4 linked regions of the Drosophila melanogaster genome follow. The protein of the gene in region 1 interacts with the protein of each later gene in a pairwise test. Each region holds a gene or a part of one and is shown in the gene's direction. Other genes may lie near its edges.

What was found.
Region 2: the proteins of CG42853 (region 1) and CG34230 interact in a two-hybrid assay, tested with the Drosophila melanogaster proteins (one large-scale study listed by BioGRID).
Region 3: the proteins of CG42853 (region 1) and Syx5 interact in a two-hybrid assay, tested with the Drosophila melanogaster proteins (one large-scale study listed by BioGRID).
Region 4: the proteins of CG42853 (region 1) and CG5104 interact in a two-hybrid assay, tested with the Drosophila melanogaster proteins (one large-scale study listed by BioGRID).

The regions. Positions count from the first base shown.
Region 1 is NT_037436.4:18,120,402-18,124,201, reverse strand, and holds CG42853 (uncharacterized protein), read left to right. Parts: upstream 1-2,212; 5' UTR 2,213-2,274; coding exon 2,275-2,767; intron 2,768-2,824; coding exon 2,825-3,186; 3' UTR 3,187-3,270; downstream 3,271-3,800. Other genes in the region: CG7341 (uncharacterized protein), read right to left, coding at 3,312-3,800.
Region 2 is NT_033778.4:11,859,238-11,862,596, forward strand, and holds CG34230 (uncharacterized protein), read left to right. Parts: upstream 1-2,072; 5' UTR 2,073-2,119; coding exon 2,120-2,228; intron 2,229-2,278; coding exon 2,279-2,364; intron 2,365-2,418; coding exon 2,419-2,551; intron 2,552-2,607; coding exon 2,608-2,669; 3' UTR 2,670-2,778; downstream 2,779-3,359. Other genes in the region: Mgtor (megator), read left to right, coding at 1-246, 303-634, 693-826, 1,078-1,365.
Region 3 is NT_033779.5:16,305,442-16,309,973, forward strand, and holds Syx5 (syntaxin 5), read left to right. Parts: upstream 1-1,904; 5' UTR 1,905-2,218; coding exon 2,219-2,888; intron 2,889-2,956; coding exon 2,957-3,690; 3' UTR 3,691-3,833; downstream 3,834-4,532. Other genes in the region: c(2)M (crossover suppressor on 2 of manheim), read left to right, coding at 1-38; CG5861 (uncharacterized protein), read right to left, coding at 518-879, 1,074-1,182, 1,253-1,391, 1,500-1,573; cni (cornichon), read right to left, coding at 4,462-4,489. UniProt on the Drosophila melanogaster protein: Mediates endoplasmic reticulum to Golgi transport.
Region 4 is NT_037436.4:20,519,029-20,523,074, forward strand, and holds CG5104 (uncharacterized protein), read left to right. Parts: upstream 1-1,980; 5' UTR 1,981-2,127; coding exon 2,128-2,199; intron 2,200-2,386; coding exon 2,387-2,556; intron 2,557-2,631; coding exon 2,632-2,749; intron 2,750-3,126; coding exon 3,127-3,258; 3' UTR 3,259-3,406; downstream 3,407-4,046. Other genes in the region: mTerf3 (mitochondrial transcription termination factor 3), read right to left, coding at 589-866, 926-1,712; Pss (phosphatidylserine synthase), read right to left, coding at 3,616-3,653.

The DNA.
Region 1 (3,800 bases):
AGTTTCAATTAAACATGTTGACAGCTGTAAGGACACGGCCGGAACTCAGGGGCAAGCCCAAATATTCACTGGCCCCCATCTCACAGAGATACGATTGTCTATGTCTGGGATGGATTTCTGGCCCTTGGCCATTTCGATTTTAATACAAGAAATTCCTGACATTGTCGCCTGGCCATAAAGAAGTCGAAGGGAATGCGTCGAAGGAGCCGAACTCGTATGACAACTTTATCGGGCCGAAAGAAGAATATTTGCTGAGATTTTCAGGTGGTTTTTAGACGTTGACCTTGTCTTATGTCCCTTATGACACTACCCTAAGAAATCTGGTCTGGTCACATCTGTGAACCAATTTACTATTCCCCTTTCTTGACCTTTTAAAAAAACAATTGGAGAATCTTATAAAAAGAGCACAAAACGGTGTGATAAATATGTTGGCTATAATATTTATATATTTAAAAAATCTAAAAATAAAGTATATAAAGTAAATAAAGTGCCGTGCCCTAGCGACCTTTTACATTTTAGGCATTTGCATGGAAATGGCCATCATTTTGTGACAGGAGCCAAAGAAACTCAATGCAGTTTTAAGTAATTTTATGTGTATTTGTTTTAATTTACATTCAAAATGAACGATAAGATTTTCTGGCCAATTTTCTGCCTTGTCCTCTGCATCTTGATGCATTGACAACTTGTCAAACATTCTAATATCCTGTACAGCTTGTGATGTGAGCATTATGGGGGAATTTGGTTTAATTAAACTGCATTCATACATGTGCAAATACATCGATTTTGCTGTTTGCATATTAATTCCAGTAATTCTAAATGAAGACGGCAGAAATTACGAGGATTTCTCAAGTAATCTCAAATGGGTGATGAACAAATGTCTATTACAAATGGGAATAGTTGGACTGTTAAACAGGATTAATATATTGGAAATATTTGTTTTACGACAAACTGAAAGGTTTTCATTTTATATTCATCATATTTTGTTGAATCTACTATTTTCTTTTAAAGTTTTTTATATATAACATATACTACTGTTATTAAGTGGACCCTTTAGCAATTGCGAGCGATCAAAAGCTTTTGAACGATTGATTTAAATTATTCCGATTTTAGTATTCTTTTCTCTACCCTCCCCAAAAGTCATTTATTTTCTGAATCTTGAGGGTGGAAAGTTAAACCACTCGATGTCATTTTGACGCCAGTGACTTTTTCCCGTATTTGCCCAAAATATTAGCGTAATGCCTTTGACAAATCAATTGGCAAGCGATTGACTTGGCAGACAGAAGGCTGAGTGTCATTAACCACACCCTCAATGGGCGTTGGTCACACCTCGTGCCAAAATTATTTGCCCAGGATGCTCCAAGAATTGGAATAAAAGACCTTGTTGACGGTGCGGATCAAACGCGAACGAAGCTGTGACAAAGAGATCTTGAAAAGCGTTCTGTTTGACTTAACAATCGTTCAAGTAAGGGATCAAGTAGAAAATATACGACCAGTAATTCTTAATTTTCAAAAACATAAATTGCCTATGGTTAGAGAAATAGGTACAAAAGCAGAAGCTAAAATGAATTTATTATCACCGATTACAGAAATAGAATATGAAGTTAAATATCTTGCGATAGAAAGGATAGCTCAAACTCAATCAAATTATGTATCTGCGAAAACCCATTTACAACCCCAAGCAAAGACAAAGCAATTTATGAATAATTTGCATAATTCATGTAAAAGGATATTTTTAAACAGATGACACGAATTGGCAACAGGTGCTTTTGGCGGTTAAATGTTGGGATCTTTCTTGTATCGGTGGTACTTGACATGCATCTCGTATTATATAGCATATAGATGTATATAAATATATATATTTATATACGAGCTCCTCAACTGGCAGCTACTCAGTTAGTGGTGGTAATTTCAATAATTTCCACATTATAATTTAATAATGTGTGGATGTGAAACAAGCTGCATGCTTAATTTAAACTTTTCAGCTTTAATAGTTCACAGACTCTCGACGTTTATACGGACGGACAGACTGACACAGCCATAAGTATATATTGTACATACATATAGACTAGCCCATCAATCCTGATCAAGAATATAAAGAATCCATCTGAAAGGTAAACCTTTCAACAAATCTAGTACTCTACGCGTGATGGGTATAGAAAACAAATATAATCTAGTATTCGAATAGTTTACTGTCGTTGCAATCGTATCCAAGTTTTTGTAATTTGTATATCTTCTCAGTACTAAAGGTCTTAAAAACTCAAAAAAAAAAAAAATATGGCCACAAGCGCGAACTCTGTTCAAGTTTCTGGAGCCGGTGCGGAGGTAAACGAAGCTAAACTCATCTGCATCTGGGAGGGAATAACTGAGCTGATCCTGTGGCGCAACTGGATAAAGTCGATGCTTGTATTCGTAATGCTACAGACCATAATTTATGATCTGCTTTCTGAACCGCTTGTGTTCGTGGTGAGCGTATGGGCTTTGATTATCATGGTCATATCAATGGGGTACCGTTTTTTGGTACAGTACACTAATACCCATATCCAGAACAACAGCTATCCGAAATATCTTGACATAGACCTAAGAATCTCCCAGGAGTTATCTAAGCAACTGGGTGTTCTAGTTTCAACCAAAGTTGTTGCGTTTCTAAATAATCTACGAGAGATATTACTAGTAAAGAGCTTTTCGAAATCATTCAAGTGGTTTGGCCTTCTCCTAATAATTAGCAAACTTGGAAAGCAGATTAACTTTCTAATTGTTGGCCAATTAGGTAAGTCTATCATTAATAAATAATGAAAGAAAATAACAAAATTCATTCAAATATCAGGGCTGTTTCTACTCTTCACAATTCCCAAAATGTGTGAGATGAATAGACGTTCATCAAATATTGTACAACTTCCTAAATTTAATAAACAATATCAAATTACCAAAGTAAACGCTTCGACCGAAACCCAGAATGCATTGGACATGGAATCCTTAAAAGAGTGCAACGAGGACACCATAAAGCTAATTGAAAAGCAACCAGAAGGGATGGATCTCTCACTCGGCTGTGATATTACCAAGGAATCCCAGAATGCGGCTGATGATCTTAAAGCCTTTAAAGTAAAGGAGGAAATAGACATTGATGCTTTTGAGCGACTTGCCGATTCCTGGTCCGACGAAGATACACTTACTGATCAAAAAAATTAATTCAAGACAATTCAAATAATTTATTTTTATATATTGTGAAGCGTTTGGATAAATAAAACTCCTAGGGGCACTGTGCGGAACAACAGCTACACGACTTGCTTATTCTAATAGGGAGATACTTTAACCTAATTCGAACTACTGCTTTCGTCGCCATCGTTCACAAATTCAAAGGCCCTTCTGGACCGGAAAGCGTGATAGGGTCCTTGCTTCGGCTGTCCTGCTTGAAATTCACTCCTAATCCTTGAGACCACTGCACCACTCTGCGGTGAATAGTTTGCCTTGAAGATCTTTAGGAATGACGGAATGGGAGGCACAATGCCATCCGTATGAAACTGAACAATCCCCTGGATGTGTTGAGGTCGCAAGAGGCTGCATAGCTGCCGAAGATGCATCCTGGTCGGAGTCGGTGTCCACTTTAGTTCCTTTAGATCCAAGGAAACTACCTTTTGATAGTGATTAAAGTCCGTCGGGCAACCGCTGACGAAAACCCTTGGTACATAATTTTCCTCCAGAAAACGCTCCAGATCGATGCTAAGGCACTCATAGCTTTTTGCAATGTGGTCGCCCAAATGAATATGCCCGCGAAGACTTGTGTGTGCCAATCTCCATAACAT
Region 2 (3,359 bases), on another chromosome or scaffold:
GGACAACAACGAGGTGGACATCGAAGTGCCGGAGCAGCACATGCAGGCTCAGGAAGAGAGTCAATCGCTGGACAACCAGGCAATTGCAACTGCATCCGCTTCCACTCAGGAGAACAACCAGAGTCAGGCCATCACCAGTGGCAGTGGAGAGTCATCGAACCCGGTGACTCTACCTCAGGCTGAGGCCTCCAACTGGAAGCAGGCAGCTGCCTCAACGTCCACAGCCGCCGCCCGACGCAACGAAAGGTAGGTTAACGATTTGTCTACGATGAGCTTCACTAATTGAATTAAATCAAACACAGCTCTGTGGAGATTGTAAGTTCACCTCAAGTCTCGAATTTTTGTGAGCAACCTGCCCGCTTGGAGTCCGCTGAAGTCGATGGCACCGCCGAGGTGGCCGGAGGCGCGCCTCATGAAAGCGCAGGCCCCAGCGATACGGGAGCTGCCTCGGCCAGTTCTCCGCAAAAACAGAGCGAGGCAGGGGAGAGCAGCGGAAGCGACGCCCTTAAAGCTGCTGACGATGGTGGTGATCATGCTGACGGAACAGATAACGCCAGAGAAGCAGATGAGGCATTCGCCGAGGAGACAATGGCTACTGGCCAAGGAGAAGACTCTCAGCCGCTAGGAAATGATAGTATGTTATAATAAATAGTGTAAATGGATTGGAAAACTAAGCACTCAATTTTATCCAGATCCAAATGTGGGCACTAGCCAATCGGAGGTGTCCCACAACCAAGCCAATCTTGGCGAGGGAAACCCCACCGAGGACAGCGAGGGAGCCGACGGCGTCTCCTCCGAGGGTGAAAAGCAGGCGGTGGGTGTTGAGGTAAGTAGTACTTGCATTGGTGGCAAGATAGCTGTGGAGAAAAGCAGGTTGGTCCCGATGAGACCCTGCATGGAAATACGTTGCTTTGAATGTAATTAACCCCATGGGATATGATTTGTAGTTCACCCCACTTATGGAGTGCATGGAATATTAAATACTGAAGAATGGATGTAATGTTTCTGTTGTAATCCAAACCAAGACCAATCTGCACCAACTGAATCCTAAATTGATTGCTCTCCATTTCTTTTTAGGAGGAGGGTCGGGAGGCGGAGGCCACTTCACCGTCGGAGAACACGCGATTTCGCACGCTGCGTAGTGCGGTGCCCACCCGACGAGGACATCGCGCCATGAGGGGTGGCAGTCCCAACAGCCAGAACCGTCCGCAGCGGATTGTCTGGCAACGGGACACGTCGCCGGGAAACATTCAGCAAAACCAGATGTCAGCCAATAACAATCGCTTTGCGCAACGGACCCGCAACCGTCGTCCCATTCGTCGTCCGCCTCCAAACAACTTCAACAACGGAGGACGATTCCCCTAGGGCGAGGAGTTCGGCGGACCCGCAGACGAAAGTCCGCTGTAGGCTGACTATAAAATCATTGCGTTTACTGGGCTAGAAATAAGTCTCCTCGCATTTAAAAGCGCTTAGGCTAGGATGAGCCACAAATACATATTACTCTACATTCTCCAGCTTGCGAGTCCTGAGTTTCTGCAGTTGACAAGATGCAAAGAGCTTTGGTTCTTGTACATTAACTTTGCTATAGAGTTTTTAATAAATATATGTGTAATTTTGTCGATATTTGATGCACCTTTCTGGGCAAGGATTTCAAACTGCTGTTACCCCAGCACTACAAAGTGGTTTACTCCCTGAATAAGTTGCCTCATTCTAGTAGTGTTATAACGCATTAAGATGTAGTTTTCCCCTCTTTAAACCATATTTCTTAGACTTTAAAGTATTTTAAAGAATTTCCACTAATGTTTTTGATATTCAAATGAATGTAAAAGATAATAATATTACAGTATTTAAACAAATCAATTAATTTAGTTTGATAACGTGTTCGATTAAAATCGCACTAGTTCTAATGTGAAATATAGACCACCGATTGCACTGCACTTTGGTGGCATTGACCTTAATTGGTCTAAGCTACGCAAGCCGATTAATTATGCAGCAAGCATTGGAACATGAAACGTGCTCCGAATTAAAGACTTCATCATAATTACCTGCTATTGTAAGTCAGTTGGCCAGGCAGTTCGTATCCGAAATTGGCTTAGAAACCCCCCAAAAAGAAACGAAAATGATCTACTCGGACAATTGCTGTTGCTGCGTGGATCTGAAGTGCGGAAGCATCCTGATAGCCATCGTTGAGGTGCTAATACGTGGACTAGATCGCTTCTTTGTTGATCGTGAGTGGTCCTGAGCATAGGAATAGCTAAGATATAACTGGCTTTCTTAGGTGACAGCCTGCTGGGACTTTTTTCCCTTGTGGTGAGCGGTATCTACGTTATCTGCTGCATTTTTCTACTGCTGGGAGCAGTTCTGGTAGGGATCCGTAATATTTTGGTTGGTGGACAATATAAAGCTGTCTAATTACAGGGCCTGAGATATTTTCTGTTGCCTTACCTCTCAGTTTCCTGCCTGCGGTTCTTCATTTTAGTTGCCGAGGGCGTGTTTGTAGCCACAGAGGGCATCATGAATGAATATCTAGTTTTCGATATTCTTCAATCCCGTAAGTTGCATTCAATATTTCGGCACAATGTTCAACTTGGCCAAATCCTTTTCCAGTTCTAGGCTTGTACTTTTGGCTGGTGGTCTACTCCTATTATGATCGCTTAAAGGACGCGTGAGCTTGTAAATTTTACAGTATATTGTTAAATATTGGTCCTTATAAAATTTATTCTTTCAATGTTCTATCATTTTGGATATAAAATAAAGTAATTTATAACCTTTTTTGGCAAACATATAGTATATTTGGAAATTATCTAACCATAATATCTTCAATTTCCGGTCAATTTTTACTTTCTTTTTCTGCAACATCTTGCAATAATGATAAATATTTTTAACGCTTTACATACATTTTTAACAATTTTAAGGGAAATCCATGTTGTAATCCATTGTTCAATGCGCTTTTGCAATCTTGACCTAAGTAACCAAATAAACAAATTGAAAGTTGAATATTGTATTCGACGTTAATAACGAGTAATGCATAATTGAGCAATATAAATTATTGCTTTCCCAATTATCGGTACCCAATAACTTGCGCAGTAACCTCATTTGTATTCAATGCGTGCTCCTGGTAAATAAAAAAAATATCGAGTGCCTTTGTTAAGATGCACTGATTGATGATCGTATCTCAAGATTTCTGGATCCGCAACGAATGGAGCGCTCATGACTTCAAGGTAGTAATATGAAATACTGTAACCGCTATAATAATTTTTTCATCAATATCCCAAGGACTTTAAGATCCGGCTGATTTTGCTTTCTCTAAACTCTCTTTAATGGCAGCGATCATAAATAATATTTACATTCATGGGCTG
Region 3 (4,532 bases), on another chromosome or scaffold:
AGCTAATAGACAATCTTATGCTGAGTGAGACTCTGTGAATATTTTTAGATAATTTTTTTCAAGATTACCAAACAACTTTGTAGTTGACAATCTTCCACATTTTTGTTGTTGTTTTGTTTTCTGTTATTGCTATTGTGTTATAACATATAAGTTGAGCCAATCTCTAACCTAGATGGCTTTAATCTACTCTTTTTCCATACAATCTTATGGTACAATTGAGCAACGATGTCCTGGATAATTCGTTTCATTTCAAGAATTGAAAAATTCTATAGATGTTACTTGTTGCTGTCTATAAAAATAGTTTTTTTTTCATTATCATATTAGTTTCGTGTACCCATTAAAAGTTGTTTGTTATCTTTGTTACTATTACGTTATCGTAGCTATAATTCATTAACATTTGGAGTAATTCTCTAAACCGTAATTGTTGTCTTTGTTACAAAATCTCAATTTCTCTGACAACACCAAAAAATAAACAAGTTACAAAAACAAAGGAATACAGAGTGTTTGGCACAATTGCTTAAATTCCGATCTGCTGGGCCAGACCCGAATAGATGTGCAGCGTGCAGAATCCAATGACGGCCGCCACCAGCGCTTTAACAGCCACCGTTAGCCAAGGTCCAATGGTCAGAATGTGGAGCATGCCCTCCAGCCAGACGCCTTTGAAGACAGTCACCGCCAGAAGTAGACTAACCAGCGGCTTTAATGCCTTGTTCAAATCGTGACGGGTGAAGAGCCAGATCAGGGTGGCCGTAGTGATGTGCTGCACCAGAAGCACGTTCGATTCCAGACACTTGAGGATGTAGATCCAACTGAACTCGGTGCCTCGGGCACCCACCCACAGCATGATACCTCGGGAAAGAATCACTTCGGCGGTGGCCCCTGCGGAAGTATACGAAAATATTTAGTTTTTACTAAATTTTTGGAAGTTGTCATACATATATGGGTTGGGGTATTAAAGGTTGAGTAGGCATTGGCTCTTGTAACATTAATATATCTGAACAGAGTACTTTTCAATCTTTAAAAGCCACCCTCATCATTAATTAAGTTTAAATAAGTTGGTTCGTTCAACCTACATCCAAGTCCAGCCGTTATGAGCTTTGAGTGGCCCTTGCCGGGTATGCGACTCAAGATTAGGGCGAATCCAAGCAGATCGGCGATGTCCATGCTGCAGCGAAGAATCTCCTGCAGACCAAAGAAACCACAACATGACCTCAATAATTGGGTGAAGGTAAACAAAGATAAGCACACGTACCGCAAAGAAGTTGAACTCGCCGCTGGAGGATGGAGCGTCCGAGTAGAAGAATGTGGCCAGCACCAGCATCTTGACGAGCTGTGTGAATATATAAATGCCTCCCGCCTGCACGCACTTCCAGAAGGCTCCATATTCTGATCTGTGATTAAATAATAAGCCGGGAAAGTTCACAAATAGTTTTTTATTGACCTGGTAGAGCTGCGGACTTGGCAGTCGGCAAATCACCAGTAACCAGAAGTAAACTCACAGGCCGGAGTATTTATAGGTGAAGTAGTACGGCGTCAGCAGGGCCACACAATTTCCAAAGTGATACAGTGTCATTTTCTTTGATAAATTATGGCTATTTTATTTTGGCTTAATTAAGAGAAGAATTAAAAGTTGAAAAGAAAAAAACTAGCGTTGCTTGCCGTGGGTTATCGATATGTGCTTAACAGGGCTGACGGCATGTCAGGCAGACTATAAAAAACAAGCTAGTTTTGCAGACAATATTTTACAATAAATATTTTAATAATAACTATTATAAATAAATATTTTGAAATATTGGAAAACGTGTGTCTTTCCGAACGAAAAGAAGTAGCAACTGTTTTAATCTGTTTCGTGCCTATCGATAGTTGCTTAAATATCAACACGTCATCGTAATCTATCATCTGGAGGTGTGTTCGTGTGTGTGAGAAGAGTGTGTGTGTGTGCGTTTGAGTGAGTTTTCTGCAACCTTTAGCAATTATTATGAATTTTTTGACAAAACCATTGGGAAATACTTGAACGGAGACCAAATTTTACTTTGTTTAGGACACACAAACCTGCCAGCTAAGTGACGAGCCAAACATCAAACGGTAAACCAGTGCATTAAAGGAGAAAAACAAAGGGGAAATTTTCGCAAAGAAAAGTCCAACAGATCATTTCGTTCGTGTGCATATGAAAAACAGCAACGTCAACTCCCTGGTAAAAGCTGCAATCTGAAATGAGATGCAAACCCGAAGACGCCTTCATCAAACAGACCAGCAGGATTACAGCAGTAGCAGTACCTATACCATTCAAGAGGATCAACAGGGAGGAGCAGGCGCAGGATCTGTGGGCACGGGAACAGCTGGCGGATCGGTAGGACTATTAGCACAGTCCCTGGTTCCACCACCAACTGGTCACGAGGCGGCCATCCACATTGGAGACAACTACCAGTCGGGCGATTCCATTTCCACTCCCGATTACTCCGACGACAAGTACGGCAAGGCGGCCCGCCAGTGGAACCTACGCGCCTTCTCGGGCCACGCACTGCGCACTTTAAGTGCCGCTGCCGCCGTGGTCACCGGCAATCAACCGGGCATCAATAACGATAGCCAAAGCAACTATAGCTACCCCGCTTCCATTCCGACTAGTTCACAGTTTTACCAATCGAAGGAGGAGCCGCAGGAAACGGAACCCGAACCAGAAATATTCGTCATGGCCGCACGCGATCGAACGGGCGAGTTCGCCAATGCGATTCGTTCCCTGCAGGCTCGAAATATCACCCGGGCAGTGAATATACGCGATCCCCGCAAAGCTAAGCAGGTTCAGAGCTACTCGGAGTTCATGATGGTCGCCAGGTTTATTGGCAAGAACATAGCCAGCACCTACGCAAAACTGGAGAAGCTCACAATGTGTAAGTACATGTTTTAGTAACCCCTTAAAGTCATATTCAAAACTTTAAAATTCCCATCTTCGTTTTAGTGGCCAAAAAGAAGAGCTTATTTGATGACAGACCGCAGGAGATTCAGGAGCTGACCTATATCATCAAAGGCGACCTAAATGCCTTAAATCAACAAATTGCCCGACTGCAGGACATCTCCAAGGATCAGCGGCGTCACACAAACGGCAAGCATTTGGTGTCACATTCCTCTAACATGGTACTGGCCCTGCAATCGAAACTGGCCAGCATGAGCACGGACTTCAAGCAAATCCTGGAGGTGCGCACGGAGAACCTCAAGCAGCAGAAGACGCGACGTGATCAGTTTAGCCAGGGACCAGGTCCGTTGGCCGCGCACACCGTCTCCCCCTCGACAGCCAAGCAGGGATCTTTGCTTCTCAGCGAGGAAAACCAAGCGGTCAGCATAGATATGGGGAGCAGCGATACCACACCACTCCTATCAACCCAGACACAGATGGCCATCTACGATGATTCCGATAATTACGTCCAGCAGCGGGCGGAGACCATGCAAAATATAGAATCTACCATCGTTGAGCTCGGCGGAATATTCCAGCAGCTGGCACATATGGTTAAGGAGCAGGAAGAGATCGTGGAGCGTATTGACACGAATGTGGCGGATGCGGAATTGAATATTGAGGCTGCCCATGGGGAGATCTTGAAATACTTTCAATCCGTCTCCAAAAATCGCTGGCTGATGATCAAAATCTTCGGCGTTCTCATATTCTTCTTCTTGTTCTTCGTTGTTTTTATGTCGTAATCAAACGCCAGTTGCCCATTAAAAGCCCCATGTACCTATCCATGTATACAGCTTTTTATTTTAATCAAGATTCAATCACAATATTGTTTATTCCAAGCTGTGGCCTCCCGAAACGATTGTAAAATAAAGTTATAAATACGTTCTAAAGCAAAATACATTTATTTTAGCATGTGGTTCTTTGGTGAATTTTTCCATTCTAATGGAAGCTCTAAAATTAAATATAATTTCCAAAATATAAAGCCGAATGATAAATATGTTTGCTGATGTAAGAAACTTGTATATTACCTTAGAAAACGTGTAATGCAAGTATCAAATTGGAGAGAGACTATATCTATGTTTGCCCTGCTGATAAGGTTTAAGTGCCCTTTCATAATCTTTATTATCTTAAGTGCTCGTTGCTCCATGTTCGTCGTGTTTAGCCAAAAATTCCGCTGTCCCTCATGCTAAACAGAAAAATGAAAATTGGTTACATTGATTTGACTTTTATTTAATGCTTAAAATCCAACTACACCAAAGATGCGATATGCAAAAAATAATCAAAATAAAAACATGTTACAATCTCTTACTGCAGAAAAGTATTACAAATTGTATGAAAAAAACAAAGCTTCAAGATGTCTTTATGGATTTACACTAGAATTTACAAGTGAAGTATTGTTCGCGGTTGATGGGGACTCTTCCCCAAAAAAGGAAGTCCTCTACCCGAGTTTAGACAACTAATACACGACGCTGATGCGTTGGCGCCAACACTGAGATCCCCAGGCAAGAGCTTGCCTATGTCGAGATGAGCGAATAAACCATGCTAAAATTAGCAATTAGAAACGTTAGACAAATGAGGACCCTGG
Region 4 (4,046 bases), 2.4 Mb from region 1:
GTGTGTTCAACACGTCAACACCAAAGATAACTTGGGTTTATTGCTTATTATTAACTCGCTTTAAAGTTAAACTATTTCTATTATTCTTTCGTGAGTTTGACCAAGTTTTTTTTGGCCCTTCCGTATGTCTGCCTGTGTTTGTGTATTCGCTTTTGCTGTTTATGTATGCGTAGGAAAATGCGTTTTACTTTTCGTTTGGCGCTGTTTCTCCGCCGCTGCACTCGATTTGACTATAACTACTGGTTTCGGACTGAAGCCAACCGCTGGAGCTCCGAAATATTGCAACTTTGTTTAATGCTTCTCCCGAAGCGACTGTCTTGTAACTAAAATTAAACACGATTCGTTTCTACGCACAAGCTTAATGCGTAGTTTAAATCTTTTGTTGCTGTCCAGTGTGACCAGATGGAGAAACGGTAGCAATCCAGGTGCGTGTCTATGTTTTCCTACATCTGGCATCCCTTGTATCAAGTAAATTTATTGGTGGTTATTTTTAAAATGATAAAACTTGGTTTCTGTTGACTTTTGAAAATATATGCATATGCATATATGAATATGAAAAGTATATATACATTTACTTTTATTTTATTCTTATCTCGTTTTCAAAAACAAATCAAATGTTTCCAAATCACTTTTAGCCACATTTCGGACGAAATAAAAGTTATTGCCTTCCACTATAGTTTTTGGCGATATATACAGGTCTTTTTGCGGATCATATTGCGCTCTTCCAAGCAATTTCAGGAACTCATGACGTTCCCGCAGTCTAAATTCGCGTGAGGCCAAAAGCTCCGGGCACTGGACAATCTGGGCATGTGGAAGGCCCATATCCTGGTGAATGTAACTAAATCGCTCGACAAGATCATCCGGAGCTGCAAGGATAAGTTGTTTAATTACAAATGTCCTTAATTTTGAATGTAGATAGACTTACGAATCATCAAGAGGCGCGGCTTTCGTACCACCAGGTCACTTAGCTCCTTGGCATTGAATCCCATTTCCTCCTTAAGGGTGAACACAGACTTGCGGAGGTGTTCCATATTGTAGGTAATGGCATTGGGTTCTCTGGTGGCCAACAGTCGCAGATCATGACCACTCAATTTGAACTCCTTTTGGAAGTAACCCAATCGACGATCCACTCGCCTGGTGGAGAACATCAGCCAATAAGGATTCTGGGTGAGAATTCTTTGCCTGGCTTCGTCCGAGAATCTCTTGCTTTTTAGATAGTTCACTCTGGTCTGCAGATCGTCCAAGTCCTCCTTGAACAGCAGCGGGTTCTTGGTGAACATCCTGCCGAAGTCATCGGGTGATACGCCCTGATCCACCAGGAACGTTATGTAGGGCTTCACATTTTTCTCGAAATCCAGCTTCAGTACAAAGTCTCCCAATCCCTTTCGCCGTTCAATACTGTGCAGATCCACTCCCAAGCTGAGAAATTGCTGCAGGGTACTCGAGTTGTTCACATAGGCCGCCAAATTGAAGGAAGGCACATGGGCCTCCCGATTTCGGAAGTCCAGAGCCACTTCTTTGGAGCCTTCACATTCCGCAGGCTCGGTCTTCTTGTCATTCTGTTTGGTGGTTATACCCGGTGATGTTAACACTTCTACCTCATGGTGGACACTTTGTTGTCCTCGCAGATTTCGTATTTGTGAGGTAATTGTTGCGTTTTTAGCCGCATTTTGTGAATTCCTCAAAATGTTACGTAGAGCTGAACAAAACATGCTGGAGGCGTTGCCAGATGTCGCGAATGTGACCAGCAGTTGGCTGCCAAAGTTTCTAAATATGGCATGCTAGCTAGAAAAAGCTAAAATTATATTTTGAATATGATTTTGATATAAAAACATATTTGTTTTTAAATGGATATTCTTGAACAAAAATGCACTACTAATATCTGATTTCTTTAGTTTTTTTATGAAGATATATATAAAATTGCAAATTGTTGGTATAATTTTTAATCGGACGGTATATGTTAACGGTTACCACCACGGTCACACTAGGTATGATCTTGGATTTATTTTGGTGTGAAAATTCCGGAGCATAAAAACAGAAGAGACCCTTGTATGTGCAAAACCCCCCGAGAGGAGTGCCGGTAATTCCAAGTCAGCCACCTGTTGAACATTATTCAATCGCCGCATAATGGACAAGTTGCGCCGCGTTCTGAGTGGAGATGAGCCCACTCCGGAGGAGGAGAGCAGTATCATTACGCAGGTGAAGAAATTTTCTAATGGTACAGATCTCATTAGATCCCTTAACATATTCTGGCTGGAGGAATTATGATTATGGCGTGGCTTAGGAGCTAGCCGCTGGCAACGCCCCGCGATCACATGGCGCCCCAAGCCGTGTGACCCAACGCTTATCAAAGTATTTAGTTAATATCAATCAATTACATACGCAGATCAACGACATGTCCACTTTGAGCTGGTCCACTCGGATCAAGGGATTCGTCATCTGCTTTGCCTTGGGCATCTTACTTTCCCTACTCGGCTCGGTCGCCCTATTTCTGCACAGGGGCATTGTGGTCTTTGCGGTCTTCTACACTCTAGGAAACGTCATCTCGATGGCCAGGTGAGCGAGTTGCTGGTTCCGTTCCACTCGTACTTCACACAAGCCGGCTAATGAGTCTCTCTTCTCCGGTTTCAGTACCTGCTTTCTCATGGGTCCCTTCAAGCAGATCAAGAAAATGTTTGCGGAAACACGGCTGATCGCCACCATCATCGTGCTCGTCATGATGGTCCTGACGTTCATCGCTGCTATTGTGGTAAGGCGTCCATGCTCAAATCGAAGATATCACAATTATTTAGGGTTCGGTCGTTAACTTTTATAATCAAGTTAGTTTTATAGCGATAGCATGACGAATTTGTTTGCAGGTTTTGTAGAAAACTTTTCCTTAATGTTTAGACTTTAAAGTTATCCAATGAAATAGCGATCCAAATCTTATACATACTTCATGAACTCACAGTAAAGTTAAATGAAAGCTTTTAGCATTTTACTTTTAATATTAATAACACAGTTTCACATGCCCTAGCAATTAAATTCTGAATATTGGTTTAATTCTTATTACTTGAACAAAAAAACAGTACGATGCAATCGATGTGTGCACTTAATATGTTATTATTTTTATTTGATTGGCTTTAGTGGAAAAAGGCGGGACTCACGCTTATATTCATTATCATACAATCTCTGGCCATGACCTGGTACTCGCTGTCGTACATCCCCTACGCCCGCGATGCGGTCAAGAAGACCATGTCGGCAATTCTGGAGGTCTAGAATCAGATGCGCTTCTGTACATAGCTCGAGAAAAGCCAGATTGGTTTGTAGCTTAAGCTAAGACAATTAAATCTTTTGTATTGTATTAACCTAGCACTAGAACATAGAATGTCCTTTATATTCTCTTATTAACAAGTACAATAATTCCATTTTGTCTTTTTAATAAATATATATATATATATATATATATCTTTTATACATATATATATATATATTTACATGTTATGTATTTAATTTAATCAGTACAGTTTTCTTTAGTTTATGTACATAATTCTCTTCTCTGTTTTGGTTTTTAATTTAAAGAATGGCCCGATCCACTTTGTTTCTGCAGCTTTAAAGTTTATTTATATCAACTTCTTATTTTAGTTTCTTCTCTTTTTGCGGCGACAATTTACCTAGAAAAGTGAAATGAAAAATTGTAGATCAAAAGTAGCAGATATAAAAGTTAACAATAACTGGTTAGACTATTTTAATTTTAATATCGTAGTGCATGATGTTGGGTGCATCAATGGAATTACTCCTTGGCAATTGTGCTTTTTTGTGGCAATGCAATCCGCGGAGAATCGGAGAAGGAGAAAGAGACAGAGAAGGGGAGAAACGCAAGGAGAATTTAAATTGAGAGCAAATTGAGTTGATAAAACATTGTGGTTAACCATAAATTGAGCCAATAATAAAGAAAGTCAGCGGGCGCAAAAAAGAAAGTTAGTCGTAAGGCAGGCAACATTAAAGGGACTGAAATGATCGAAATTTGCTATGCCACAATTAAGCACAATAGTTATCCTATTTTA